Arabidopsis thaliana: one gene and its partners. The protein of the gene in region 1 interacts with the protein of each later gene in a pairwise test. Each region holds a gene or a part of one and is shown on either strand. Other genes may lie near its edges. The genes, in order: AT3G61790, AT5G04320, AT1G12440 and AT4G02940.

What was found.
Region 2: the proteins of AT3G61790 (region 1) and AT5G04320 interact in a two-hybrid assay, tested with the Arabidopsis thaliana proteins (one large-scale study listed by BioGRID).
Region 3: the proteins of AT3G61790 (region 1) and AT1G12440 interact in a two-hybrid assay, tested with the Arabidopsis thaliana proteins (one large-scale study listed by BioGRID).
Region 4: the proteins of AT3G61790 (region 1) and AT4G02940 interact in a two-hybrid assay, tested with the Arabidopsis thaliana proteins (one large-scale study listed by BioGRID).

The regions. Positions count from the first base shown.
Region 1 is NC_003074.8:22,869,885-22,876,589, forward strand, and holds AT3G61790 (Protein with RING/U-box and TRAF-like domain), read right to left. Parts: upstream 3,950-6,705; 5' UTR 3,660-3,949; coding exon 3,432-3,659; intron 3,149-3,431; coding exon 2,762-3,148; intron 2,456-2,761; coding exon 2,090-2,455; 3' UTR 1,813-2,089; downstream 1-1,812. Other genes in the region: emb1703 (embryo defective 1703), read right to left, coding at 1-1,578; AT3G61800 (ENTH/VHS protein), read right to left, coding at 4,839-6,647. UniProt on the Arabidopsis thaliana protein: E3 ubiquitin-protein ligase that mediates ubiquitination and subsequent proteasomal degradation of target proteins.
Region 2 is NC_003076.8:1,205,067-1,213,078, reverse strand, and holds AT5G04320 (Shugoshin C terminus), read right to left. Parts: upstream 3,883-8,012; 5' UTR 3,734-3,882; exon of another isoform or gene 3,615-3,733; 5' UTR 3,569-3,614; intron 3,483-3,568; 5' UTR 3,467-3,482; coding exon 3,410-3,466; exon of another isoform or gene 3,334-3,409; coding exon 3,244-3,333; exon of another isoform or gene 3,157-3,243; coding exon 3,119-3,156; intron 3,019-3,118; coding exon 2,910-3,018; intron 2,802-2,909; coding exon 2,778-2,801; intron 2,675-2,777; coding exon 2,609-2,674; intron 2,523-2,608; coding exon 2,481-2,522; intron 2,382-2,480; coding exon 2,285-2,381; intron 2,211-2,284; coding exon 2,144-2,210; intron 2,055-2,143; coding exon 1,878-2,054; intron 1,760-1,877; coding exon 1,655-1,759; intron 1,552-1,654; coding exon 1,447-1,551; intron 1,342-1,446; coding exon 1,264-1,341; intron 1,156-1,263; coding exon 1,060-1,155; intron 965-1,059; coding exon 703-964; 3' UTR 501-702; downstream 1-500. Other genes in the region: CYP84A4 (Cytochrome P450 superfamily protein), read left to right, coding at 1-384; AT5G04310 (Pectin lyase-like superfamily protein), read left to right, coding at 5,727-5,911, 6,144-6,851, 6,980-7,196, 7,632-7,837. UniProt on the Arabidopsis thaliana protein: Dispensable for both meiotic and mitotic cell cycle progression. Required with SGO1 for full protection of centromeric cohesion during anaphase I. Required to prevent precocious release of pericentromeric cohesins during meiosis. Acts redundantly to SGO1.
Region 3 is NC_003070.9:4,239,481-4,245,833, forward strand, and holds AT1G12440 (A20/AN1-like zinc finger family protein), read right to left. Parts: upstream 3,722-6,353; 5' UTR 3,328-3,721; exon of another isoform or gene 2,880-3,327; 5' UTR 2,843-2,879; coding exon 2,336-2,842; 3' UTR 1,941-2,335; downstream 1-1,940. Other genes in the region: AT1G12450 (SNARE associated Golgi protein family), read left to right, coding at 5,016-5,276, 5,474-5,710, 5,813-6,030, 6,133-6,328. UniProt on the Arabidopsis thaliana protein: May be involved in environmental stress response.
Region 4 is NC_003075.7:1,303,189-1,312,668, reverse strand, and holds AT4G02940 (oxidoreductase, 2OG-Fe(II) oxygenase family protein), read right to left. Parts: upstream 6,357-9,480; 5' UTR 6,012-6,356; coding exon 5,453-6,011; intron 3,531-5,452; coding exon 3,385-3,530; intron 3,306-3,384; coding exon 3,188-3,305; intron 3,113-3,187; coding exon 2,990-3,112; intron 2,900-2,989; coding exon 2,784-2,899; intron 2,706-2,783; coding exon 2,551-2,705; intron 2,463-2,550; coding exon 1,970-2,462; 3' UTR 1,631-1,969; downstream 1-1,630. Other genes in the region: AT4G02950 (Ubiquitin family protein), read right to left, coding at 515-1,471. UniProt on the Arabidopsis thaliana protein: Dioxygenase that demethylates RNA by oxidative demethylation: specifically demethylates N(6)-methyladenosine (m6A) RNA, the most prevalent internal modification of messenger RNA (mRNA) in higher eukaryotes.

The DNA of each region.
Region 1 (6,705 bases):
CTGCTTTGAGAAGATTTCAACACTATCTTGGGCTATCATCTGAGAAGGTTCCTGAGTAAGCTCTTTCTCACCACTTCTTCTTGAAAGGAACTCTTTAGCCTCTTTTACAGACCGTATGACCCGTGACTTACGACCAGTGCTATTCTTCATCATACTTAACTGATCCTTAGAGACATCAGAAGATTGGATGACTCCGTCTGTAGGAACTGGTGGTACCACATTACTCACCTTTTCTTTGTCAGATGCTGCCATTTCATGATTCAGAAAACCAAAATCTACCATAGCCCCATTCAACATCGGAACAGCAAAACCAGAAAGTTCAGTGTTCTCACTGTCAGTCGAAGTTCCCAAGCGTTCATCTTTATCATCATCACCTTCACTGTGTGTCAAAGCCTCATGTGGAAGACTCTTCTGTGACTGAATGCTTATATCTTCCTCATTGTCGCCTGTTTCTTTGTTCACATCGAGCTTCTGCTTTTCATTAAGTTCTATGCCAGCTTCTATCTCCCGTGCTCGTCTAGCCATTGCTTTGATTTCATGGATCTTATCAACAAAGTCCAGCTCAACATGAGGAGAATTCACGAGTTCCAGTTTCTTCTCTGAACCCTTAACTTTAGAAATACTAGTCATAAGTTCATTTCGATCAAACTTAGGCTTCTCAAATGACATCAATGGCTTTTCCAAACCCTCCTTGTGCAAAACTTCCACGGTACCTTTCTCCGACATATCCCTTTCCTGCCAAGCTTTCATCTTTCTCCTCATCATCTCCTTCTCCAACTCTGTACACTCAACCTCATTACTCTTCCTATACACAAGCACCGTCTTCAGCAACCAGAGTCCAATGTAACCACACAAAACAGCTCTTCCAATCGCCGGCAACTTTGGAATTAAGTCAAGACGAAGAATTGCGTTTTGGACTGAGCTAACGAGACGAAACTCTTCCTCTGAAGAAGAAGAAGAAGAAACGAACTTGACAAGAGAACTCTCCTTATGGATCACATGTTCCCCATTCTCCATTTGTTCAGCTAATTTCTTCGCATATACAAGCTTAGAACTCACTGATTCCAAATCCCCAAGAGCTGATCTTCTTCTACTCAAGACCTCGTCTTCATCAACCTCTACTTTCTCTACGTTTCCAACAGAATCCTGATAGACAGTGAAAATGGGATTCGAACCAATACCCCAAAACTCTGCTTCCTTGTTATACCGAGCAACCCAATCTTCAAGCTCATTCAGCAAATTTGAATCTTGAGCAACCCTATCTTTCAATCCCTCGGTGCTACTTAAATCATCACAGTGACCAAACTTATGGCTTTCGTTTAGAGGTTTCGTACCTGGTTCAGAAGATTTCGGAGTCGAACGCCAATACTCATCACCGATGATCTTCTTCCTCAGCGAATTACGTCGCCTCGAGGTCTCTCCGAACCGAGCCGAGACTCGGAGAATTGAAACGCGATAGTAGTGGAATTTGGAGATGGGCAAGTTGAATCGACGTTGGTTAGCGAGTCTCCTGTTCGAATTGGACGAGAAAGACGAGAAATTGAAGAAACCATCATTGGAGTTTAGTAGAACCTCCATTGATGGAAACCAAAGGGATAAAGCTCACTTCCGAGTGAGAAAACCCCCAAAAGCTGGGTTTAACAGAACAATGATGAAACGTCGTCGTTTCTTAAACAAAGCTAACGCCTTTGAACAACACTACAGTTGAAAAAAGGTTCAACATTTTACATTTTCCAGATATAAAGCTCATCACTTCCAAGTTCCAAAAGCTGGGTTTAACAGAACAATGATGAAACGTCGTCGTTTCGTGGACACAACACAAGCATTACATAAATTTATGAACACTACAGTTGATAAAAGTAAAAGGTTCAACATTTTACGTTTTTCCTCCAGATATAGCAGAATTGTAATGAACTATATATTTTATAATAAAAAAACCTCCATGACATGAGAAAGACAGAGAGAGATACATAAGAACAACCCCAAGTTTATCGTCAGAGAAAACCCTAATTACAGATAACCATGGTTACAGAGACAAGGCCAAATCGGTGAGGTTTTCAAAATCAGTTTGATTTTTTTTTTTTAATTTTCAAGACAAGTTTGGGATACAAGCTCCTCCACCTTCACCACTTTGTTGTTGCTCTTTCCATATCCTTCCAGTGACTCGAAGTTTCAGCTCTTTCCTATCTCCACCTGAGAAGAAGAGAGCCATGTTTCTTTGTATAATTAGTCCATCATGACTGTCTCTAACTTTCCTGTGGCTGTCTCTTACGCTTCTTGGTGTTCCTTCCCATATCAGCTTCCGACCATAACCTCCCACTTCTAAACTGTAATTGTAGTTTCGAGCTTCTGTCTCGTCCCCCATGAAACGCAGGAACGCCATGTAGACTGGAGCCATTCCGAGCTGGAATGCCTCAAAGTGAAGACAGAAGTATTGACCGAAGCAGTGAAAGACCTGATTTTCATTTTTGAACCAGAAACAAAACCAAAACAGAGGAAACCTTGATAAGCATTAAAGTATATCAAGTCAACATGTATAGCGAGATGGAAGATTCACAATTCACAACCATAGATTAGATAAATAACTGGACCTTCTCTAGGAAAGCTAACTCGCAACAAAAGCAAAATTTGACTCAGCTGATCACATTACAGTTTATACCAGACAGATCAAATTTTATCACAAATATAATCCTATTACTTTAAACAAAGCCTCCTAACTTATCTAAGTGTATACTATGAAGCACGATTCATATGTACTTACAGTTAACATCCATGTGGCGTTTTCGACTTCACGAGGATTAGACTTGACATAACGATGGTTGAAAGTACACCCAGAATGCATATCCACCTTATGATCATCCCTCAGATGAGCAACTAAGAAAGGGATATCGCCCGTAACAGAACACTCGGATCCAGCATAAGGGCAGCTATAAGGTCTGAAGTTACATACAGTCTCATGTTTGAGCTTACTGTAATAAGGGAAGATTTCAGGACATCCAAGTGACATGTGTTTACAAGGTAGTTCAAGTGATTCGGCTACTTTTTCCAGTGCCAAACAACGGATATCACCGAGCTCTTGTCTACAAGTTGGGCAGCGGTTGTGAACCCTGGCTTTACAGGTTGAACACAACGTATGTCCATTGTGACACTGTAGGGAAATCAAATAATTGTCTATCTGTTATTCCATAATTCTCTAAAGAAACAATAAGAAGAATCTTAGAAACTATCAAAGCTATTGACAAAATTTAGTGACAATTGTTTCAATTGTAGCCATTAGTGAATGGATAAAACTAAATTTCAAGTTACAAGAGCAACACAACCACTGCTTCAACATCCATGATTCACATCATTAACTCAAAACCCTAAACAAAATCAACAAATTAAAGATCCGGGGAAACGAAATCAGAGAACAAGGGATTGAAAAGAAAGACCTGATGAATGGGAGGGTACATAGAATTGGTGCAGACAGGACATTCGAGAAGCTCATGAACACTGGTGGTGGTAGGGAGAAGCCCAGAAGCAGCAGCATTAACGTTGGTGGTGTTGTTATTAGTATGATGATGCTTGGAAACAGAAGCGTAGGAATGGCGATCTTGGTGGATCTCTTCATCATCTGTCACATCCATGGTTGATGTACAGTCCATGCTATCCAAATCCATTGAAGAAAGGTGGAGACTTTGATTGATCTTCGATCGAAACGAAAGATCAAAATCCGGAATTGAAGAAACACCACCGAAACAGGTCAACCCTCGTGAAGTGTTGTTAATTTTCAAAAACAAAAAAGATAGATGCTCTTCTTCATCAATTCTCTAGAGAGAGAGAGAGAGATAGTTGCCGTCAAATGAACCGGAAACGCTGATTTAAGATCGGACGGTCACAAAGGCGGCTGTGTTAAAGAGAGAATGTTATTTGGAAACAAATTGAATTATAAGAGATTCAGAAGAATTTACTGGATAGGGGAAAAATAATCATATTCTAATAATATACGTACAGTATATCCTCTCTCACTCAATGATTTCTTTGTTTTTAATTAAAGGGCCATGATCCAGTAGAGATGGGCCTAAATATGTACATGGTGCACATGATTGCTTCTTTTTTTTTATTCTAGATGTTTTTCTCTCTAGTGGGATTCTGTCTATCATTATTGTGTGTTCTTTTTTTACTTTTAATTCAAACAATTTCTTTTCCTTTGTACAAGAAAAATGATTTTCAACTTCTAAAATGACAGCTAAATTCAAAGATTCATGAAAAACATGCTCATCTTTCTGTTTACTTTAACAAAAACTTTAAGAGATGTATTTAGGTAAAATTAGACGGTTTAAGAATATGAAATTCATAAGAGGAATAATAAGTAATGGGATGTGGCTTGGGTTCAAAGTCACTTCAAAGACCAATGATAATGTAAATGAACATTTTACTCTTCTTCATCTCAAGCAAACTCTCACAATCTTAAAAGCAAATTATTCAATTAATAATTGCTTCTCATCAGTGATCGGTCTCATGAGTGATATCATCCTTAAACACACCACATAAAAGAAAAAGAAAAAAGCGAACAACAACGATCCATCCAGCTTCAATGATCTGTCGTTGCTTTTTAACAGAACATGTCAATTGTACTATTATCTTTCTGTTGGGTTTTGTGACTTTTGTCTGAGAAAAATATAAAGCTTCAAAGAATCTGGGACTTGACTTAAGAACTGTTTTCACAGCTACAAGAGATCACAAGCGGATCTGATTATTCATTCATCAAATATTCTTTAGCTTTTTACTCCTATTTGCATCAAACAATCAAATTTAAGGCACTACTGGATCAAAACTAGAAAGATTTTAGTTATTTGTTACCACTGGTTAGCCGATGTATCCCGGCACTTTTCATCATTGCCCTGAGCCAACTGCTGTGGATTAGTACCTTTTACTCGATTACTAAACAGTCTCTGGGATATTCTATCTTTAGCCGTTGTTTTCTTACGCCTTGTGGAAAAGGTTTGCTTCTTGTTTTTCTTTTCAGCAAAAACTCTATCAAACTCATCATCCATAGCATTCGATCTAGAAGTTGAGGCTATTGCCGCACCACGCAGAACTTCATGATTGTGTTCCTTAACCTTAACCTTAACAAGCTTTGCTCTTTTCCTCACCACTTCTTTGTCTTTCTCCCGGATATTCTTCAGAGCCTCTTTCGCTATTTGCCTAGCTAACTGATTAGGATCAGAATCTGAAGTTGTTTCATCCATAGACACATCCTGGTTGGTCCCTGAAGTTGAAGAAGTTTGGTTTTCACTCTCATCTAATGGAGATTCCTGGATTATGGTGTTTCCTTCATCATCCCGGGGTACAATGGGTCCGTGAAACGGACAGACTCTGAGATCTCTTCTCTGGCAAAGACCACCTTTCTTTAGAGAAGCACGGCATGGAGGTGTCTCTGTTCTCTCTTCTCTATACACGGTTGCCTGAAGATTCAATTCTGCTATTTTATCTGCTGGAATTATAGCATCTTGATCCACCCTGCCCCAGTGGCTCTCGATCTCTAAACCCCGGTAATTAGCTCGAACTTCCGTAGTTGATTCCCAATTAGTCAACTGTGATCCCCAATTCATCACAGGCGCTTCAGAAATTAGCTTGTCTCTAAGAGAGTTTCCACTGCTTCCAACTTTTTTAGTGTTCGACACTTTATTGGACCTAGCTTCTGATGTAGACTTCTTTGCTTCACCTGATGATGGTAAAGATGAATTCTCACTCTGCTGAGTTCTCATCACATGAGCCACGTTCTTGACTGAATCAGTTTTAACCTTGCCATCATCCTCCTCCCAGATATCTTCTTCTTCCTCGTTTGTTTCTTCATTACCGTGAATATCAGTCATTCTTGACATTGTAAAACCAGCTTCTTCCCATTTCTTTTTAGCTGCCAATATGTTATTCCTGATATCAATCAAGTCCTTCAACATGGAATCTCTCGTTCTGTTATCACTTACGTCAACCCTAATGAGAAGAGAGATCCCTTCTTGAACCGAGATCAGATGCTTTGTCACTAGAAGCTTGCACTGTTCCCTCAACACATCAAATACAATTCTGTTTTCACCAGTTTCTTCAACCTTTTCTGATTGTTTCAGTGAATCAAGACGAATTTGCCTCAGATGAGAACAACGGATCTCCTCAAAATCTTCCTCATCTAAGATCGCAAGTGGAACACCATCATCCCCTCTCCACTGAACAATTTCCATACACTCCTTGATTTCCTTTATCGTTACCTCAATCTCATACTTGAAGAGTCCAAAACTAACTCTCAAGGAATCAAACTTGTTCCGCAAAATCTCTTTTGTCTTCATCTCCCTCTCCTGTCTCTCTCGTTGAATCCGTGCAGCATTAGCCTGTAAATCAGGGAACTTTAACTTGAGGGTATTCTTAAGGTAATCAAACCCAAGTCTAAGCTCCTTGTAATGAAACCCAAAAGACAAATTCCACTTCTCCAAGAACTCAATAGCCTTTGAACGCAACGTAGTGGCAACAGCAGGTGGTGCAGGAAGAGGCAGATTGCTTCTAAACCCAATACTTAAACTCAAAAGCTGATCAAGATTCTCAATTATCAAAGTTCTAAAGAGCTTTGATCTCATGAATAGCTCGTCGATTATGAAAAGCGTCAGATATCGAACCTGTCAAAGAAAATTATCACCGCGTTATTTGACCAACAAACCTGATCAATCAACATTG
Region 2 (8,012 bases), on another chromosome or scaffold:
ATTTCCGGTTACTTCATCCCCAAGGGTTCGCGTGTGATGGTCAATACCTACGCTCTAGGGCGTGACCCGAATTCTTGGTCCGACCCGGAAAGTTTTAACCCGGGTAGGTTTTTAAACCCGATTGCTCCGGATCTGAAGGGGAATAATTTCGAATTTGTTCCATTCGGGTCGGGTCGGAGATCGTGCCCGGGTATGCAACTCGGGTTGTACGCATTTGAGCTTGCGGTGGCTCATCTTCTACACTGCTTCACGTGGAGTTTACCGGACGGTATGAATCCCGGTGACGTCGACACCGTTGAAGGACCGGGTCTCACCGTTCCTAAGGCAATTCCTTTGGTGGCGGTGCCGACCACGCGCCTCCTCTGCCCCATCGTCGTCTCGTGAAGCCTCCACCTTTGAAAACAAGAGTTTTCGGAATCGGAGTAATAACTTGTAATGTGTTATAGAACCTTAAATTGAGAAAATTCCTATTGTACGTTGTTATTTGTGTGAATATATAATCTAAACAAACAAATCAAAACAATACCACATTAAACGACTTAATTTTAATTAATGTATTCAAGAAAAATTAGCATAATAAAGTAACGACAAAATACAGAGGCGTAGATATAGAAGGCAAAAGCCATACAAGAGCATGAAGTAAGCTTTTGAATAACAATTTTGCAGATTAAGAATACAAAAGCACAAGACAATGCTGGAGATTTAGCATTTTCGTCGCATCTTTACTCTAAGTGAGACTTCTCTGTATGATTGGACTTTCTCTGCGGCATGTCTCGATGGTCTTCCCACAGATGATCTTCTTGTCATCCCTTCGTTTTCATCAGCTTTAGGCTTATCCTTTGATTCTGTTTCCTGATCACACTCTTGAACTATGGTGTTGACCAAAGATGGGTCTGTCGCTATTTCTTTAATGGCTTCATCGGTTTGAGATTTACCCTTTGTTGATTGTCTTCTCGTTGAGAAACTGGCAAGTACACCACAGAGATAACAGTCACATTACATAACTAAGAGTTGATATTCATCAGCGGAAATGCAGGAAATTCACTGTCACTAACAAACCTGCGTTTCCGGGTTATCTCTTTTGTTTCATGCCTGCTTTCGGATGGTTCTACAGATTCCGATCTTGATCCAGCAGATTCTTCGATTACTATGCTTCTGAAGATATTATCCAGGAGGGAAATCACAAGTGGCATTAGCTAAACTCAATTTCTGTGTTATCTGTCGACGGGATGGAGAAATTTTTTAATTTTTGTTTCAACAAACCTTGCATCGTCAGCATTCGAGGTTTCAGTCACATGCGGTTCTTGTATATCAAACCTTGCAGACAGTCTTAAAGAGACTCTGCACAAGTTATACAGGAAATTAGTGACCTCTAACGCATTTTTAGTAACATCTGTTAAAAGGATACTACTTGTAAATATGAAGTAATTCAGGCCTCTTACAAACCTTCTCCTCTTGATTGTCTCCCTGACTTCGTCTCCCTCATGTAAGCTTTTACATGGTTCAGCTTCTTCGTGCCTTAACCGAGCAGACCGTCTTCTCAAAGAGAAGCTGCTCGAAACGGAGAAAGTGTCATCACAATACGCTATTGTCAATTCAGAGTTTGCAGTCAGTAATTAAAGTGGAAAGAGGAAAAAAAAAAAAAACTAATAACCTTGCGGTTTCTTTACTTTCTTTGGCACCATCCATCTCAAGCAACTTTTCCGTTTGTTTAGTTTCTTGAACATCAAATCTGGTAGATTGCCTTCGTGTACATTGCCTACAACGAAACAACCAAGAACAAGAAAAGATAAAAAGTACAAATCAGATATACTTATATTCCCACTGCTTTTGTGTAGACATTGATGTAAACTGTAATTCTTGGACTGAATAAGAACCTCTTGCGATGCACACTCTCTTTTACCGGGTTTGCTGCATCAGGAACAAACTTCTTGTTGACAACATTGTCAATATCTTGGTTTACCCCTCGAGAGACAACCCCCTTATCAATGTCATCTTCAGTCTGACAGATCTCTTCGGGAATACCAGTAGTATCTATTACTCCAGAAACTCTTCTACAAAAAAAAACAATAACAATTCAGGTTTACATGACTGCCAAAATCTTTCACAGAAAACATGGATAAAACATAAAGCAGATTAGGACCTTTTACGGTTAGCTTTACTGTTAGAATCATTCACAGGTATTGGCTTGACGTCGGCACTTACTGAAGCTGAAGATGAAACAATATAGAGTAAGGATGCGAAGCATTTAGGATCAACAATGAAATTAGGCAAAACAGTTTACATTTTATCCTTGTTGTTCGCTTTCTCTTGGTATCTTTATGTTTTATGTCATGCACCTGAAAGGATTTGCAATCCCCATCAGAAGCGCTTGCTGAAACCTTCAAGTCAACAACAAAGCCAAATAGTATGAAAACAATGTAGAAAAGGTGATAATTTTTTATTCTGAGAATGTCACCAAGGATAATCCAAGTAAACACCTTGTCTTTCGATTCATGATGTGTACGTGGAAGTACTTGCTCCTGGACAATAACAAATCTCTAGTTTTAAACTTTTTCGTTGGTAACTATAGTCAATGGAAAATATGTAGGCCAACGGAATAACTTACCTCAAGATGTTTCTTGACTTTAAGTAAAGCATTCTTGCAGCCAAGTTCATGCTGGAGATCCTTGAGCTGAAAAAAAAATCACATACAATGTCAATTGATTGAAGAACTTGTAATATAATGAATCAAGAAAAGCATCAGTTTGAGAGAATTCAGTTCTAGAAAAGCTTACTCTGTCTCTATTTGTATTGAGTTCCTGGCAGGAAAAACATGAAAAAAGGACAATGAAGCCATACTTTAATCATATAGTTTCAAATAATCTCGCAATCATCACAAAATCAAAACATAGAAGGATGGGACACACCGCTAACATCTGACTGTTTGCCTGAGCAAGCTGCAAATTCTTTTCCTGCACACTCCGTAAGTTAATCCTCAGTTTCTGAATCTCAATACCGCTCAACTCGACGAGTTTACTGTATTCACAAAATAAGCACACAAAACAAAGATTACCAACAAAGAAAACGTTCATGAAACTCAAAAGCCAACATATTCTAACGAAAACAAGACACATACTTTCGGTGTGCTAGAGCTTTCATCAGTGTCATGTTTTCCTGCAAAATCAAATCAATACAGCAACCAAATCAGAAAAAAAAAATTATATGCCAGGATTCAACAAGATTAAAGTGAAGAGGAAATGCCTTTTGAAGCTTTGCAGCATATTCCTGGGAAGAGAATAGCATATTTTCCTTCTGCTGCGTCTCTTCTTTATCCATTTGTTTTACATTATCCTGCAAGTTGCTATCGATTAGCAACAGCGGCAGGGAATGGGAAAGATTTGTTGGTTCATGTATGAATATTGTTCACCTTTTGGGAACCTAAAACCCTATTAGAGTAGTCAAGGCTCATTTCAGTTAGCACCATCCTTTGATTGGGGACTCTGAAATTGGGGAAACATGAATCAAGCCTCACTCATACTTTCGATTCCAGTAAAAGCTAAACAATTTGGACAATGAATTAACTTACCAGTAAACACGATAGTGAGAATCGTACTCTCTCCTAGCTTCAGAACCTTTCAAAATTCGGAAGAAAATGGAAGTCAACAATGTATCACCGTCGTCACCGGAATCTCTTCGATTATCTCTTCAAGCAAATCGAAGCCAATGAAATCAAGCTTTCAGATAGACTCACAGCCTTTAATTTCATACAGATGTGGTGCTGGGGATCCAACGGAATCGACTGCTCATCTCCCAAACCCTAGATTCTCACTCTATCGAAGAAGACGGAAAGATACGGTTGGATCGGCGGCAAACCAAGTCAACAAATTTACAAAAAAATTCACCTGGTCTGGTTTCATCAGCTTTAAAACCCGGTTCACATCTGATTAGAAAATTCAATTTCCTTCTAGTTGGGCTTTTGAGCTGCTTTAATTGGGCTCGAAATAAATTGGTCATAACTCATAATGGGCATTTGTAAAAACAATTTCTCTTTTTCTGCAATTTAAATAGTTAAAAGTTAAAACCTTCATTAAAAAACAAATGTGGCTATGTGCAATAATAACTACTGTAATCAGTTTTCGGATGAAAAACTTAAAATTCGGTTGTAGTTTTTGGATCAAAATCTTAAAATTCGGTTGGAATCAGAAACATTTAGGTTTATAGCTCTGCTCACATGTAGTTGTAGTTTCACGTCAAAGGTATTCTTCTAAACAACTATGATTATAAATTGTAACTATTACATAATTTATTAAAATTTAATATTATGTTGCCTAAAACCGTGATAATTAAAACTCATTAACAATGCCAACTTGGCCTAGTAGAATCTGACAAAAAATCTTTGTCAAGTTGTACCGATCACTTATATAAATATAGCCGATTTTATTGAATTGATGATACATTATTTCCTTTGTAATTCTTTCTTATATTCTATCACTTTTCCTCGGTTTTTTTTTTTTTTCTTCTTCACAATTTCAACATTTTGTTTTTTTCTTTGAATACATTCTCCATAACAAACGAATACCACAAGCCTACAACTGCAATTGCAATAAACTATTGTATACGGATAGGTTGTTGGGGGCGCCACTTTGTCAAATTATAATTAGGCTGATTAAATTAGCAAACATATTACTGGTTTGTCGAAATTCAAAACTATTCACAAGAGTTTCATTGATTCGATTTCTTTAGTGAAGATACATTTGATGAAAAATAACTGCAACTAAAACACTCGATTAATAGACAAAGATAAGTGAAGACCATTATGGGTTAGGTCAAATTGTTATCTCTAGGTCAAAATTCTATTGATTATTGTTCTTTTTCTTTTCATCACCATTTACTTAAACAGAAATTTCAAAACAGTTATAGTTGAGGTTCAAGGATCAATGGATCAAGAACTCGAAGACTTCAATGTTGAAGAAAGCTCTTCTTTTATTCAATCATAAACCAAGTCTCTAAAGAGACATTACATATCTTTATATAACTAAGTCACAGCCGACTTTAGCCTTAACAAAACCCTAATTGAAAAGTAAAGTTCAACAAAGAAAAGGAAATCAAATTGGAAAAGGCAAACTTAAACAAGAAACAAAAGAAGAAATAAAGCTTATGTCTTGCACAAGAAGTGATAAAGATGACGCTACATCAATAAATCTTTCAAAAACTAAGAGAATTCTTGCGCTGCATCGAGTATTTTCGTCAAGGTAAGTATTGTTTTATATGCATGTTTTTTTGGTCTAAGTTTTATATGCATGTTTATAACGCAAACTACATTATTGATTTATCCCGTGATCAGTGACATATAAAAAGGCTGCTAAATCCATAGAAAAGTTGTTTTAGAGAGAGGGATACGTCATACGTGGATGATTGGGTAATTCAAGTAAACTGAGTCACTCTTACAAAAGTAAGAATCAGATTGGAGAAAGGTGGGAGAAATAGTTTTGATTAAGCACTTTAAGGATTCTCTGACCCCTTTCACACACTCTCTCTTTCTCTCTAATTTTCTTTTCTTCCACTTGAAACAAACTAGAGAGATTAGAGAGAGATACTATGTAGGAAGGCAAACACACAAATAAAATTCTTTTGGCCCTAGTTTATTATATAACCCAATTTGCACAATTCCCCATAAACCCATATTTAAGGAACTTGAGTTTCTAATTCTGCTGGTCTTTTCATAAGATATAATAGGAGATATAATGGTGGCTCATGAGAGGAGGATCCATAATCTTCAAAAACCAACGTGCATTTGCATTATCTGGTTTTGCCTCTTGGTTTCTCTCTCTCACCATGGAAGAGCATCATCAACCTCAGCATCTATCTTCAATCTTTCTCTCCCACACCAACACCCATTCCCTGAACATGTTGTTCTTAATGTTCAAAGGTATAACTTTTCTCTTACATTTTATTTGATTTCATTTAAGGGTTTGATTCATTTTCATGCTTTATCTTGTGGGTCTTTCTCATTCTCAAGTAATCCAACTAAAATTTCAAAAAAGTTTGAATCTTTAAAACCTCTGTTATTCTTATAATGATAATGACAATATCAGAAACAGAGCAATCTTCTCTGTTTCTTTCCCAACTAACATTTTAACATGCTCTGTTTCTTAATGTAGAAAACTCAACGATTCTCTCTCAAGAAGACAACTTCTCACTTACCAACAAGACGACGGCACCACGGCGTCGTCACCAATACCTTCTTGCATCACCGGAAACCCAATCGACGATTGTTGGCGCTGCGACCCAAACTGGTCGGCAAACCGCCAAAGACTCGCCGATTGCTCAATTGGTTTCGGACAAGGAACACTCGGAGGAAAAGGCGGTCAGTTTTACCTCGTCACCGATTCCTCCGACAACGACGCAGCGAATCCAATTCCCGGAACTCTTCGACACGCCGTGATTCAGCCAGAACCACTATGGATCATCTTCTCCAGCGACATGGGAATCAAACTCAAACACGAGCTCATCATCGGAAGCTACAAGACAATCGATGGAAGAGGCACGAATATCCAAATCACCGGCCATGGTTGCCTCACGATTCAGCAGGTTAGCCACGTCATCATCCACAACGTTCACATTCACCACTGTAAACCCTCCGGCAACACTTTGGTCGCTTCGTCGCCTACACATGTTGGATTTCGAGGAGTCTCCGACGGAGACGGAATCTCAGTATCAGCTTCTCATCACATTTGGGTCGATCACTGTTCTCTCGGTTACTGTGCGGACGGACTCATCGACGTCATCCTCGCTTCCACCGCCGTCACAATCTCCAACAACTATTTCTCTCATCACGACGAGGTTATGCTCCTAGGTCACGACGACCGGTAATTATGTCCACTTATTTCCCAAAAAGCCCCTTATTTACTAATCTTCCAATTAAAGAGTTAAACTTTTGGATTTATCAATTTAACCCAAATTTAATGGCTTATGGTCATGGTATTGTATTAAAAAGGTACACGGCTGATAAGGGGATGCAAGTAACAATTGCATTCAACCATTTCGGAGAAGGGCTTGTTCAGAGGATGCCGCGGTGTAGGCACGGTTATATCCACGTGGTGAACAACGACTTCACGGCATGGGAAATGTATGCAATCGGCGGAAGTGCTAGCCCTACAATTAATAGTCAGGGTAACCGTTACACCGCACCTATTGATCCCAATGCCAAAGAGGTATAAATTCTACTTACCCGTCTATTATGTATCAAATCGATTTCACAAAAAACTTACATAACCAAGCATTTTACACATAATGTTTTTGAATGTTTACTACTTCAAAGAAAACAAGTTCTTGAATTCAAATTTTTCTCAAATTTGGTAGAACTTTTAATGGGAAAGTTTAAAGCTCTCTTAAAAACAGGATAAGTATTTGTGGGATCGGTGTGCTCTTTCTGACGTGTCATGCAATATTGGTCCACTTGCGCGTTAATCCCTCGCGCCGGCTAAGTCTTATATGCCGGTTACAATATTTGTCGTCTACGACGTTGACACTTAACACAGTCACATCCTCCAAATCAAATTAAATGAGACGAGAAACATTGTAGTGTGTCTTTGACTTTGACGCTTTGGTGTCGCGTGGTTCTCACGTTACTGTGTTGTTTTGTAAAGGTAACGAAGCGCGTGGACTCAAACGAGAAACATTGGTCGGGATGGAACTGGAGAACGGAAGGTGACGTTATGGTTAACGGAGCTTTTTTCGTGCCGTCAGGTGACGGAGTGAGCCCAGCGTATGCCAGAGCCACCAGTGTTCAGCCTAAAGCCGCCGCGATCATTGACCAGCTCACGGTCAATGCCGGCGTTTTCGGCGATCCAAGGTATTATTATCAAATCATCTATTCAATTGCTTCCTCCACCCAAACTAGCATCTACTTTATTACGTTTATTTTTGCCTCTATACTTTTATTCGATTCTTTTAATTATTTCTAACACTATATTCTAGACTATATAACATTCAACATTTTTTTCTTTAGAAACGTATATTTCCTAGTT
Region 3 (6,353 bases), on another chromosome or scaffold:
TTAAAATGGAAATTTCTGGATCGACATTAAAATAATTGTTCGATCAAAATTATGATTCGATTTTTTTCATAAAATTTGTAGTTCGCTTACACCTGGTTCAAACATCATGATCCTTCCAAACCAAAAAACACCATCATAATAAGAAAAGAATGAATAACAAAATTTGAACATATTCAAATAGTGAATTCTTAACCCAATTGACACATCTCTGATATTTCATAATCAAATGTAAAACGAAACCTTTTTTTTTGCCATTCTGGTGCTTTATAGTGTGTATATACTGCAGCATTGATGTATAAAGAGGGAAACTTATTCAAAGCACTCAGACTATTCAGTATTCATGTAGGGGCCTTCTTCAATGAGAGACTTTACTAAAGTGAGTTATATTCAAGGAACAAAGAGTTATTTTCTATAAAATATAAAAGGGCACTTTGTTATTTCTCTTTCTAATTTCAGCATTATTTGTTTATTATATTGATCATAGGATTTGGGGAGATATTCTAGACATGTAAAATGTCCAAAATCGAAAATTTATGTTTAAAATCGAAAATTGAATTCATATAAAATTGTTTTTTTTTAGGGGTAAAACTATGAATTACAAAAGGTTATACGACTGATGCAACGTCAGATCATTCGATATTGCATCATGGCCTGAAAGTGGTTTTTTCCAAAGGTTGCAATGTCGCAGTAAGTACTTCATTGTTCCACTATTTTTTCATGTATAAGAAAGAAAAATAATAAAGCCTAAAGCAAAGAAGTACAAAACATGTTTCACAGTTGAAAACTAAAAGTCTACATGTTCATTTGTTAAGTTTTATAAAGAAAACTGTAGTGCACTGCTTTTCTCTCTTTGCTTTTTGTAAATTGGTTGATAAGATCCGAAAAATGGACCCAATATTGTAATGTAACCATCAAGAAGTGAAAGTGAAAGTGAAAGCAACAGTTTACCCACACCAAGGACATATGTTCTATCATTTCATAGTCTACCTCAACTCGTCGGTTGCAGTCTTAAGTTTTGATATCAATTTTTGTTTGTTACAGTTTTTCATAGTTTAGACAATTTAGAAACCGTATTGAAAATCAAATCCAGTTTCATCTAGTGAAATTTCAGATCAAAATCAGTTGTATGCGAAGACAGTATATAAAAAATTTGGATGGATACTTCTTTTATAAAAATAGATCAGATGCAACTAGTGCACTTGATTGTGGATATTGACATTGTTCAATACACACCATTCAAAGATCTGCATTGGCATTGACTATTCCATCTTTTTGCTAAAAACTTTTGATGGGTTACACTTTAAACATAACCCCAACGAGATGAAGATCATACAAGCACAGGGAAATAATCTTATGAGCATCATTGCTAGGGAATATGTATACACAAACGACAGAATGTATTCAATCTACAGTCATCGACTACAACACCGAATATCCCAACTAGTTCAAACAAATCGATCATGGCCAAAACCGAGCCTCAAGTCTTTAAAGTTTCTTAAGCTATCAAAGCATACTGCCACTACCAGGCAAAAATCACTGATTTCGTTCAATCACTGGGCACTATCACCTAAACATCTCTTAATCTGCCATGGTTCGATATAGGTAAACTACTTTGACTACTTCATTGGATCCACCATAAGCTATATAAAAACTCCACTTACTCTAAGTCCCACAACTCTTAAGTGAATCAAACTTTGTCCAGGTAAGAAGAACACTACTTTCTCCAGCTAAGACAGAGAAAGCAAAATCAATGACTCATTCAATCAAGGACACTTAACACCTAAACTAAAGACACATCTAAATCTTCCATGACTCGATAAAGATACCCTGAACAACATCTTCAGCTTCAGAAATTTCAAGCTACATACTTTATCCACCATAAGCTATAATGCTATATACAAACCCCAACTTGTTCGTCCACTATAAACAAACCAGGGGAATCCACCATAAGCTCTATACGACATCTTTAGTTTCAGAACTATCAAGCTACACACTTTTATCCACCATAAGCTATTTACGACCCCCAACTAGTTCATAAGCCTCATAACCAAGAGAATCCTATATCTGCAAACAATTCAACTTCTCCAAGTAAGAAGAAGTAAGCTGGTACCAATAAGAACACAATTTCATAATATAACCAACACTTTATTACAGAACAACAAATCCAATGTTGCAAAACATGAAACCACATAATAGCAGAATCTAAGGCCTTTCCTAAGAAACCCTAAAAGCAAATAAAACCATAATAAGAGCAGAAAACAGAGAGCCAAACCACCAACATCACGAGACTTGAAAATAAAAAAACAAAAGAGAACACAACAGTTTCTTCACCAATTCATATCCTATCAACCTTATCAGCCTTCACCACAGGATTAGCTTTAGCAATAGCTTCTCTCGCAACTCCTTTGAAATCGAATTGGCACTCGTGACTCTCTGGATATCTATGAGTTCCACAGAAAGTGCTTCCACACCTACACTTGAAACCCGTCACGCCAACTTTCTTGTTACAGCTCAAGCATCTCGTAGCCGTCGATTTCGGTGGATCCAACGGAGCAGCAGCCGAATCACCCCCTCTCGTTGATGAGGAAGACGATCCAGATCCGAGGACGCCTTGAGTGATTTCTTGGCTCTGTTGTGGTTGAGTTTTGGGTTTATTAGGGTTTAGAGATTTCTCGACGGCGGCTTTAGCGGAAGCGGTTTGTTCCTCCGTGGCTCGGATGTCTCTGTAGCATTTAGAGCAGAGGTTCATGTTCGATGGAGATCCGAAGAAGCCACATCCTTTGACGCAGAGCTTTGGCTCTGAAGGAGAGAAGCTTGTGCTGTCGTTTTGCTCAGAACCCATAATGGAAAGATCTCCCAATTCCAAAGTCGAAATCTTACTGCAAAAGAAAAGACAACACAAATCGTGAATAACAGATGAAGAATGAATTTGTGACTTTAGGTTTAGGGTTTTTATTTATGATTCCGTCGAGAAAATAAAGGGAAATTGACAATATCGAAAGATTTAGAAAACGGAGATTCTTGGCTTGTTTCTCAAGCGAGAAAGACTAAAATTATTTCTCATTTATGACTAAAATACCCTTGGAACTCTTTATAAAGTCGAAGAGTAAATGCGTCATTTGTCAACACTTAAGACCAGGTCAGCGTCTATCTCACAAAGACCACTTTACCCTTCCGGCGCAAAAAAGGACAAAAAAGAGATAGATAAGAGTTGTTTAATCTTCGCCGTCAAAAACTTAAATCGAATGGTTCAAGAATAGATGAAGGATTCAAACGAAGAACACAAATCTGCATATCGGCACAGAACAAAACCAATAAGATATTTACCTAATTCCCACCCAAAACTCTGCTTTAGTATGTCGGCGACAATTCTCTCGTAAAGAAAATCTCTGACGGTATGTATCACTGAAAATTTCCGATAGAAACTTCGTGATTTGATCGGAGATGGAGACCGTAACCGAAACCTCTTAGCTTTCGCCAGAGAGAAATTAGGACAGAACAGAAACCAGACTCTTTTAGTTCTTTTGCATTTGTCTTTGTGGTCAAATGGTTTATTCATATGCGGTAAGGCGCACGGAAGATTTAATACATCCCTGATAATATTCGTTCGATGAAACAATCGGAGAGTGATGACGCCATTGTTTACTAATCCAACGGTGGTGATTGGAAGTTTTTTGATGAGATAAAGTGGATATAAAATGGGTGGGGTTATCAACTTTTTATGGTGTTTGTGGATTACGATAAAGTTGGTTCGAGTTCGTGAAGATAATCGGTTTTATATGAACCGGGTTTGGTTTGTGGGGACATGCTTAGCTGGTTGGACGGTGACGTAACAGTAGGATAAAGAAAAAAGGTGGCGCGTTTGTCCCGACGCGATTAGTCCATCGCTCTTTTGATTTGATCGGAATGTGATGATATGTTGTTCCAAATGTACTCTTTCTTCCTTGGGCCTTTTCAATTATCTCTTTCTTTTCTTCGCTAAAACGACCGGATTTTAAAAGTGGTCAGGTCTTTTCTCACTGAGTTTACTTGCAAATATCAACATGACTAAATCGTTTTAATTTACGTAAAGTGTTTTGGACACCACTATATCTAATCTTGAGCTATAATTTGTTTATGCTTGTCCTTAAAATCGAGACTAATTCAATTTCCATTTATCTGGTTTGGAAACGACTAATCGAAATCCAAAATCATCGAACGCTATCATTCAAGACGTTATATTAGCAAGCGACTCTCACTCGCGACTGCATCCTTTTTTTTGGATCCAATACTGACCATAAGGTCCACAACCAAATTAAATTTGATATAGTTTGTGAATTGTTTATAGGGTCCATAAGCTTCTTAGTTCTTATGCTCCTCTTTGGTATGGTATTAATACTTCAAAACGTAGCTATCTAATCTATATATCATCTATCGATATGTTCATTTTTACAGGGAGTCTTGTTCTTATATTTTGCTTACAAGTATCAACTTTGGTTGCGTTTCATTCTCTTGTTCGATCCTCTCGTTTTCTTTTATGTTATGCTCCGTAATATATATAAATTGCCTTCAAGCAACTAAATTTCAATAATTAAATATGTTACGTATTTCTTCTGTCAGTACGATGTATGTACGCACCGTAACGGCAAAGCGAAAATAAAGCGCCGGTCTAAAGCAACTCTGCTTACACATTTATCGGTGGTTCGTGACGGAGCAACAGCTATTAGCCACTCATATGTCTCCACATGTTTGACTACGACACCGGTTTAATAAGTTGAAACTAAACCACCTAATTATAAGGATATCATTTTTTAAAAGTTTTTAAAGCTAAGAACGGAAACGAATAATAAAGATTCTTTCTTCTAACCCCATTCGCTCTCTCCGATCAACACAACATTTGATCTAACGGTTTAATTTTCTCGAGAAACCGAAGGAAAACAAACAGAGGTGCATAACGATTCTGACGGAAACTTTTGAGATATTTTTTTTAGAGCCAAAAGGATTCACTTTTTTTGGTTTTATCTTCGCATCGATCTATGACGTACAGCAATGGCGTCGATGGGACGGTGCCTGAGCTGAAATTGAGAGTCGAAGAAGATTCCGATAATGGTGATTATCTGAAATTGAGAGGAGGATCAAATGAAGAAGATGAAGGATCATCGGCGGAATCATCGAGATGTCCGATAGGATCGGTTACTTCTGTCTGGTTCTGGGTGAAATTGATCTCCTTGGTCGTTTGTTTGGGTTCATTGGCCTTTGTTATCATCAAATGGGTTGGTCCCTTTTTGATTGAAAAGGTTCGTTTTTTTTTTGTCTCTCGAAGATCTGATGCTTATTGGTTACATTTGATTGGATTAGGGTATGCATAATGATTCTGGTTTCTGCTGGGTTTTTAATTGTTGAAAATTAGGGTTCTTGAATTACATGTATGAGTATGTGTTTATAAGGAAGGTTATTCATTTATCATCATTAATGTTGGTGTGATTTGTTTCAGGAGCTGATTCCATTTATAAATTGGGTGAGAAACACATTCAGCATACCGGTTCTCGGTCTTCTACTATTTGCCTCAGTGGCATTGTTTCCAAGCATTCTTCTTCCTTCTTCCCCTTCCATGTGGATGGCTGGTCTTACATTTGGTTATGGAAAAGGGTTTCTTCTGATTTTATCAGCTGCTTCCATCGGTGTTACTCTTCCTTTCTTAATTGGACATCTCTTCCTCCACAAGATGCAAGTAAGCATCATCATCCCATACTCTTTGTTCGGATACTTATTATTAAGCTTGTACCATGAGATGATCAATTTGGACTTTTTTTCTTTCTTGTCATTTGTGCAGGAATGGTTGAAGAAATACCCTAAAAAAGCAGCCATACTTAGAGCTGCTGGTGAAGGAACCTGGTTTCATCAGTTTCAAGCAGTCACACTAATCCGTGTCTCTCCATTTCCTTACATCATTTACAACTACTGCGCTTTAGCGACTGGAGTTCATTATGGTCCTTATATCTTAGGCTCTCTTGTTGGAATGGTTCCTGAGATCTTTGTCTCAATTTACACGTACATGCCTCTCTCTCTTTCTCTATGTCTCTTGTCTCAATGTTTAAGGCATGTTCTGCAGAATCTTAAGACTGGTGGTTTTCTGTTTTGGGATATTTGCAGGGGTATAATGCTAAGGACACTAGCAGTTGCATCAGACACGAGACACACACTTTCGGTTGTGGAGATAGTCGTGAATGTTCTTGGCTTCTGTGTAACTGCGAGCGCGACTATAGTCTGCACAATCTATGCGAAGAAGAAGCTAAGTGCGATGCAATCAGAGGACGTAGAGACATTACAAAATCCAATACTTTATTAACTCTTTTCACCATGACCACAACATA
Region 4 (9,480 bases), on another chromosome or scaffold:
CTCATGATCAATTAGCAGACACTCTTACAAAGCCTCTGTCCCGCGTCGCTTTTCAGAACTTCTCTCGCAAGATTGGAGTCATCAAAGTCCCTCCATCTTGTGGGGGCGTATTGAGGATATGATTGATATCCTAGATTGCTACTGTCATGGATACACATATGTAAAGTCGTATATACTCTCATTCATTACGTTGATGTACCCTAGCTACTCACTCTTGTATATATATTGTGATTCTCACTATGTAATGAAATCATCTCTTCTATAAACATCTATAGATTCAACATTTGATCTTTGTACTAGTGATACATTGAAGTAGTAAAAGAAATGTGAATTAGAATGTACACAGAGCTTATAGTAACTCAACAAGAACTTATTTCTCTTCTTTCAGCTCATATTGGTATTACATGTGTTAGGATATTTCAGAAACCTGTGAACTTTGGAAAAAGCAAGAAAACTTGAAGAAAGACTAAAACCAATAAGAAAAAGAGTTTAAGATCGATTAGTGATCAAACGTTCAACCACTTGTGAGTTTAACATATCCTTGGGAAATCTGAATCGTATCACCGTAAGCAACACCGTTGGTCAAGAATGACTGATCTTCGTGTAATACAGCCTGCTTATGCTTGTGTATTAAGTAATACATTCCTTGAGGCAGATTTAACTCACCCCTCTCTTGCATCTTAACCAGCTCTTTCCTCAGTTCTTCAACGTTATCATCTGCTGTAACCTCTACTTGAATCATCCTGGTATATCCATATGGCTGCAACATTACTATCATCTTCATCGCAGGCGAGTCTGTAAAGTTAATGACCTCTTCGACTGAGTCTGACGGCGAAGATTCTCTGTTTTTAACCTCTTGATCCCTGTTTCTTATGCTCCCAACCGCCACAGTCGACGAATCTCGAGGGGCAAGTAACTCATCAAGTGAATATGATGGTCGTGATGATCCATTGTCGATTCTCTTCGCCACCACTCTCATTAATGGAGGCCGATCTTGTTGATTCTTACTGAACTTTTCCATAGTCAAAGCACTTGATTGTGGCGATAATGGAGAATCTTGATTGTTAACGAACTCATGAATAGGATTTGATGGTGTTGATGGAGATTGGTTGGTTTGAGGCACTTGGTTCTGAGTAGGGTTATCGTCAGGAGAGATGGAGAGAAGGATACGAGAGTTGTGACGTATCTGGCATCCAAACATATTAAGATGGTCTTGAAGTACCTTGCGTTTGAAGATAAGTATTTGCTTGGAAACAGGGGTCCCTTGAGTCATCTCGATCTTCCGTTTAATCATTAACACTGTGTCCCAGAAAGAAACATCAATGGTGAACGATGAGCCACTCTGATTCTCGATGATCACACTTATCATTGTATCAATGGAGACTGATGAAGAGTGAATAGAGAAAGAGAGAGTCTGAATAGAGAAGGTGATGTCAACTTGGGACTTTTTTTGTAACGAAAGTTTCCTCATAATGTGTTAACTAATGACCTATTATTTTGCTTATCTTTCTCTCAATTTTGCTATTTTTGAAAGAGATTTTATCTATTGTTCTTTGTCAACAAACGTGAAAGATAAAAAAATTCAACAATCTTGAAAAAAAGTAACCAAAAATACAAAATTTTTTTTTTTTTTTTTTGGTAAAAGGTGAAGGAATACAACGACATGGAAATCACTAAAAGCTTAATGTGGCTTTGAAGAGATGATGTTGTGCTATAATCTGATTTTGTTTGAAAACTAGCAATGAAAGGTAACATTTTGAGAATATACTGATAATAAAATCGTACACAAAGTAGAAAACACATGCCTCGGGGGATGTAACAAACTTAATTCTATCTATAAAACCTGAGTTAACCTAAACTGAATTTGAAAGAACAAAAAAAGAAACAGAACAGAGAAGAAACAGAGCATTGCTTAGAAAAAGACCAATTCCAAGTTTTTTTTTCTTTTTGCTGAAGAAGTCGAATAGGATTAACCTACAGTGATCACAGGCTCAGAGGTGGATCCTCCAGCTGGAGAAGAAGAAGCAGCAGGAGGAAGCGGAAGTAATCGCTTCTTCTGCGCGCGTGGAGGCAAATGCTTCACATGTTTTCTTGAGCTATTAACAGAGGCCCATGGTAAGAAAACACCGGTACCACCACCGGTTCCCATCACATTGGGACTTGGTAATATCATTGGTTGAACCGGTGGTGGTGCCATCATGACCATTGGAGGACGTAGGACTCCAAGTTTTGGCATCATGTCAATTGAATGATCATAACCATTGAGGAATGGAGTTGGTGTCATTTGGTAGGGTTGCCACATTGTCATGACACCGTCGTTGCGAGGACTGTTGGGTTGTGAATGGTTATGATATGTGTCAGGTCGAATACGAAAGAATGTGATGCTTACTCTTTTGTTTTGTGATGGACACATTACATGTCTTGCCATGTCTGCACTGTTCCCTCTCATCACCAACAAAGATCTATAAAGATCAGGTCAAACAATGTTAATGAAGCGAAACCGACCTTTTTCTTGGAGTTAAAGAAAGAGGTTTTTGATATTATTTTTACCCTTGTTTGAGAGAGAGTGTCAAAGGTCCTCTGAAGTTGCCTTCGTTGTCACTTGAGAGAATGCGTCCATAGGCCATTGTTGATTCAGAGAGGACAAGAGTGGAGATTGGTTGTTCTAAGTGAGGTGGTTTGAGGAAAGGCTGTGAGTATTCACCCTGAAAAAGAGTGGCAATCTCGAAGGTTAAAGAAAAGCGGAAACATAAAGGAATGGTGATCCATGGAGATGTATATACCTCTTCAAAGAAGTTGATGACACAGCCGTTAGGTCTCTTGTATTCTGGGATGAGTCTCCATGTGACAAAGTGATCAATGACACTCTCAAGAAGTGGTGGAATTGGCTCGATGTTAACTACAAACCAACAAAAACTCTAATCGGTCAAAGCCATCCACATGGATCAAACCATTTAGACTGAAACTTGCGGATCAAGCGATTCCTTACCAGAGTTGTTGGTGTCGTTAGAGTTTTCATCCGCCTTGACATGACCAAAGATGGGGACACCAAGCTGAATCAGCTCTCTCTTGTTCCCTTTAATCTGTTTGTTGAACAGTATAAAGCTCTCACCTGCATTCATCTTGTATAAGCACCGGAAAACTCTTAAAGCCTATAATGTGTTTAGCGTAAGACAAAGTCAGTCACCTGCAAGCTTCCCGTTTATGCCAGCTTCTCGTAGTTCTGCCACAAAGTCTAACAATTTAGATATCTCATCTTCTTTAAGTAACTCTTCATACAGCTTTAGTCCTTTCACAACATTCACCTATATCACCACAACATTAATTTATCAATAACCATATGCATATGTATGTCTCTCAAATCGAACTTATCACACTACTCACAGTGTGGCCTTTGACTTGTTCTTTAGCTTGGAAACCTTTGATAGGTTTGATCTCACATGAACGTGCATCACAATCTTCATGGCTATGGCATATAATCTGATGTGCAGTATCCGCAACAACAGTTTGGTGAACATCCTGATGAGAACCTATGTAACAAAAACCATAAAATTATTCAAGTTTTTGTTCATACTTAACTACAAAAAAAATTAGTTGAATTAGTGTTTTTAATCAATTAATTAATGTGAGCTTCGAATCTTTGGCTTTAGTGAGAAACACATCGACTAAAGTAATGACAGTAAATGTGATATTTGATTCTCATGGACCATTCTAAAGAACTACTAATAGTTTCCTTGTAAAATGTATCAGAGAAAGTCAGAGACTTTCAATGTAGAAGACATCAAGACAAGACTACAAAGTCTACTGTGTTCGTCCACGTGTCTTTACCTAAACATGCGACTTTCAACACGAGTAAATTAAATACCACACATCACGAAGAAAAACTCACTAGACTGGTAAAAAGATCTATACCAAATAAAAAAAACCTTTATAGAGTTCTGACTTATTTTTATGGCCGTGAACAAAAAGCAAAAAGCCAAAATGTGCGCGTGAGTCGTGAGGGATTCGAACATTCGGGACGAGAAGAGAAAAGTTAAAGGGCGGCACGGAGAATCGTGGGGACCATAATTGATGACGACTCAAGTTTTAATTAAATCCAACGGCTGCTATGAGCTCACCATTCGAAGAAGAAAGAATAAAAATTGCAATAAAATCATCACACGCGAATCAATGTGAGATTGATACCTTTGATGCGTTTAACAGTTACATCAACTAGAGCACAAGACAACAAAATTGTTGCCTACTACTACTACCACTAACACACACAACCACATTGAGAATAGGAATCCTACTACTGTAATCTTTTAATTCCAAACGACATCGTTATGACGTTTTTGGTCCATTTTTACATTGTTAGAAGTCAGAGAAACTTTTTCAGATTATATGCTTTTTCAACACAACTACAATAGATTTGTACTTTTGTACGAATTTTCATGAAAGTTTGTGTTAATTTTTTATTCTTTTAATATAGTAATAAGGTCTGATTTTATGATTCGAACCCTGTTTTAATATGTACGTACTTTGCATAACTAAAGTAACACTAATAGTTACGTTACAATTATTTTGTCCTAAAAAATTAGTTTCGTGTAAAAGATCAAAGTTAAGTGAAGAAATAAAAAATTATAAACCAACTATAAAGCCGGCAACAAAATATATTAATAAATTATACTTAGTCATATAAATTTATAATATATTATCTTTTCACACACGTTAAAAGTAACTAACATAAATTAATTTCTTAGTTTTCAGCGAAATATTCGTCTTTAACTATATATTATTTTTTTATTACAAAAATATATAACTAAAAAGTTTCCAAACATGGTATTAAAAATACCAGGCTGTGTTAGTCATTTGATTAGTGTGGAACATAAAAAATAAAGATTTCTTTTTTTAGAAAGAATCAGGTTAATTTGGTAAAATTATTTCTAAAAATCGAATCTCTGGCATAATGATGCAACAAAATCTCACGATTGATATATATATAAAGAAAACAATTTAAATAAAAATAGTAGTAATACTAATTAAGAATTAAAAGTCAAAATTGTTTAGAATACATCTCGGATCCAGTAGAGGGAAACACGTACTTAAATCTTGAAACTTGAATTAGTCTGAGAAATATATTCTAAAATATAAAATATTGTTATTTTCTTCTTTAACAAGAAATATATATATATATATATACAAAAAAAAACAACTATTTTCAACTCATTCTCATAATTGTAATGAAGTTTTTTAAAAAAAATCGTCACCAACCACAGAGAGCCAGTTTACACAGTGAACAGAGAAGAATCAAATGACCAAACTTTCAAAGAATATGCTTTTTCAAATGAACAAAAGAACAATAATTATATGAGAAAACCTATCATTGTTTCTGGTAAAACTATATAGAAAATTCTGGATCCAAGAAAAAAATATACTTCTTTTGAGAATTGTGAAGTTTTTTTTTACTTACCTGAATCAGTGATATCACTAGTTGGTGAATCATCTTCAACGTCTTCTACATCTCCGTTTACGTCATTCTCCGTTACTTTCTCGCCGTTAAAACACTCTTTCTTCACTTCCTCTTCCTCCGTCGCCACCACCTCTTTCAGATCTTCCTCCGCCTCCTCCTCTGTTTTCTTCTGTTTCAGATCCTCCGCTTTCTTAGCCGCCACTTTCTGAAGCTCGATCGCTACTTCAGCGATGGAATGATACTTCTGCATCTGAAGAACAGGGATCCAATTCAGACGACGGCGATGGATCGCCGCGAATACAGCTTCGTACTCCGATCCAGATACCGCTTCTTCAGCTATCCTTAGATGCGAGCACATCGCGTCGATTATCGCGTTTGCCGCAGCGAATTCTCCTCTGAACCATGAGATCAACGCATCTTTACCTAATCCTTCGGAAACCACAGTCGCCGGAGGAACTTGAACCGGAACGCTCACCGCCTTCGCCGTCGTGACGTAAGCAGGGTTGAAACCAGTGGCTGATCGATCTGTCTGGCGTGCTGGCGCTGCCGCAATCGTCATCGGCGTAGTATCCGGCGAAGATTCAGTTGTTCTCTCTTTGATCGATTATTCCGATCAGTCGGCGGCGGAAACAGAAAAGGCTAAAATGGGTTTAAAATGTGGGCCGGGTCGGGTATAGGGTCGGGTCGTTGCACATGCAAGTGTAATGAGAAGGTTTTTTCTGAGGAGAGAGTTTGGTTCCAATTTATATTGGGAGGGATCCGTACAGGTGGGAGAGGCTTATGGTGATGATGTGGCACTCTCTTGTAGCTGACGTGGCTAAACTTCTGGCCCCTCTTTGCCCGTTTCTTATTCCACAGAGTTTTCTTTTTTGAAATTGTTTTGGACAAAAGAGTTTAATTTGGTATTATACAGGAATAATTTGATGATGTTTTTGTGTGGTTAAATTAGGTAGATGGCAAGATTTGACGATGAAATTTAAAAACAAATAATGATGTTTTTGATCGCCATTAAATAGTATATTGATTTTTAATTTTTTAATAACTTTTATTTAATTATTATCGAATATGTGATTTTTAAAAATATATATAACATGCTATTTTGTTATGTGGATGTCTAATTTAATTACCTAGACGATTATGTTGGTATATAAACGTCTACTTTATCAAATAGATTTCTAACAAAACAAAATTTAAACGTGAAATCACAAATCATAATTTTTATGTGATTTTGCAATGTTATTTGATGGAGTTAAAACTTCAATTTTCTCAGATTTTAAAAATGTAAAAGCTATCAAACATTAGTTTTGTTTTTCTTGTACTCTTTATATAAGTTTTTTTGTGGGGTCAAAATATGATGTTATATTATTGAAGAATACATGATAGAGAAAATTATAAAATAAATTATATTTTATTATTAATGAAATAAGAATAAAATGTATAATATGTAAAGGATTTTTTTTAGTTGCGTTTTGAAAAAAAAGAAAATTGGTTTCTTACACTTTAGATGTAAAACACCAAATAATTTGAAATAGAAAGAAATCTCTAAAACTTTTTATAAAGAAAAGACAGAATCTGATGGAATATGTTGTAAGCATTAGCGTGCAATTAAGCCTAGGTTAAAAAGCTGTATTAGTTGTATTCACTTCTTGTAAAATTGGTAAGTTAATTTAAGTTCTTTCAAAAAGTTGTGACATGGTATGCATTTTTGGGGTTGATGTTTACGCACAATAGTTCCTTGGGACAACAAAAGAACGGCGCTGAACAAAAGAGTTATCTTGCCGTATCACATAAAATGACTTCCAATTATGTATTTATTCTGAACTATAAAAGTACTAATATCGTTTTCTTTATCTATAATCAAACGATTCCAAGTAACATCTAATCCTTGTCATTTGTTGTGGTTAACTTTGATCAAAATTGTGGTGGAATGATTTGAACTTTATGGTTCTAAACTTTTAAAACAATAAACGCCTATAAATTTAGTTGATACTTAAACTTTTCAACGAGTTTTAATAATGTATAAAGATTGATGTTTACCATAAATCTAACATTTCAATGCATCATTTATGAATAATATAATTTTTTCAAAATGCTATTAAATAGAAAATGTTAATTTATAATTTAAATAATTTTTTTTCAAAATGCTATTAAATAGAAAATTTTAATTTATGAATGATTTGTGTCAAATATTACTATCAGAATTTTATGAAAATCAACTTATATACACACCAGATTATTTTCCATTTTGTACTCATTCTATATTATTTTTGTTGCTATATATTATTCTTCTACAATTGGTATAAGCAGCTAATATTTTTTATTCTGTTTGCAACATATTTTAGTGAATTTTAAACATAGAAATATGTATAAGACATTGATCGTTTGGTGTTATGTGTTAATATTTTTGAACTTTACACCAACCAAACTCATGAGTCATGATGTCAATGTCCATGTCCATGAGGCCCGTGGAAGATGATCTAAGAGATGACGCATAAAGTAATAATAATCAAATTGTTTTTGTACCTCTAAGATATTAATTAATTAGTCTAAGAGCTTCTTCTACTATTATCGTTGTTCTTATTTGACTTCTCCTTTTGTTTACAAGTCAATTCACTAATAGTTGAAAAAGCTCCCTTCTACGTGATTAGTTGAAAACATTAAATATGATAGTTACAAAATAGAAAAAAAAAAAAATAGAAGATTCCGATCCGTGATTAGTAAGTATTGATCCGTGGTTTGTTGTTTCGCATGAAATTTTTGTTGAAAAAAGTTTCGATAAAACTTGTTTATCTAGTAGTCATAAATCTAAAAATATGTGAATTTCGTTTTAATTAGCGTTGAAAAAAATGTTGAATTAGAATTTAGATGGTGTTGACTAGAAAAACATTGAATTTTATGGTGAGACTAAATTATTATCACCAATCCATAAAGAGCAAAAAGGTTAAGTAGCCTCTTGGCAAAAAGGTAAAGAATCAATGAATGATGGGTTAGACCAACGAAATGTAAAATTATGGGACCGGAATGAAAAGTCTACGAAAATGGTGGGGTGAGGTAAAATTTGGGCCTACATCGTCCAGATTTGTGGGTCGCCGAAACAGCACCACCCTCTAACATCAGTAGATTCCCTTTTCCACTACCTATGGCACACACACAAAAGAGGTATGGGGTTAACTCACGAACCCTTAGTGACCCATAAAAGTGGTGCTCATTGTTTTTCATAAGAAAGTTTCTGATCATGATCCATGAAGAAATGCTCACTCGTATTTTGTTGATCGGATCTTCTATTTCTAGATACAGATAAACTTTTAAGACAGTAAATTATCACACAAGTTCACTGGATAAATTTGTATGTAGCCACTAGCCACATAAATAGTATAAAATTTGGGGTATTTGTGTATTTGGACACTTTAAATTCTAACCAACTCTTTGAGTTTGAGACATTCTTTTGGGAGTATTTGTCTAAACTAGCATGTTATTGATTACATTATTACCCTCTCAAAATTGAATATTTACTCTTCCACCATTTTATATTTGTCTAAACTAGCATGCTACTCCATTCTCTCAACATGCTTTCTATTTTAACATTTCTTGCTACTGAAGAGAAATGAGAAAATAGGGGTTTTCACCCTTTCTTGTGGCGTTACTCGATCGCTAACACTCGAATTGGTGAAAGCTCATGGGCAAAAGATTCATTTGTCGCGACAACGAGACCAACACTCAAATGCATATAATTTTGTGTTACAATCGCATTTCGAAGTTGTGAAAACATATAGTATCTTGTCATTTTCAGTCATTTAAAATAAGGCGCCAACCAGCTTTTTTTATTATTATTGTTTTAACGAAATTTATTTTCTTCGAATTTTATTTAATGGTTTGTCCAGTTTTAATTTATATACGTCTTTGAATTCTTAGACATGCATATCAATCTGTTAGAAATTCACAAAGCTTTATTTATAGAATTAATTATGGATTTGCCATTTTTGGATAACATTTATAAATTTCCTTTTTTATAAAATTTGTGGATTTTA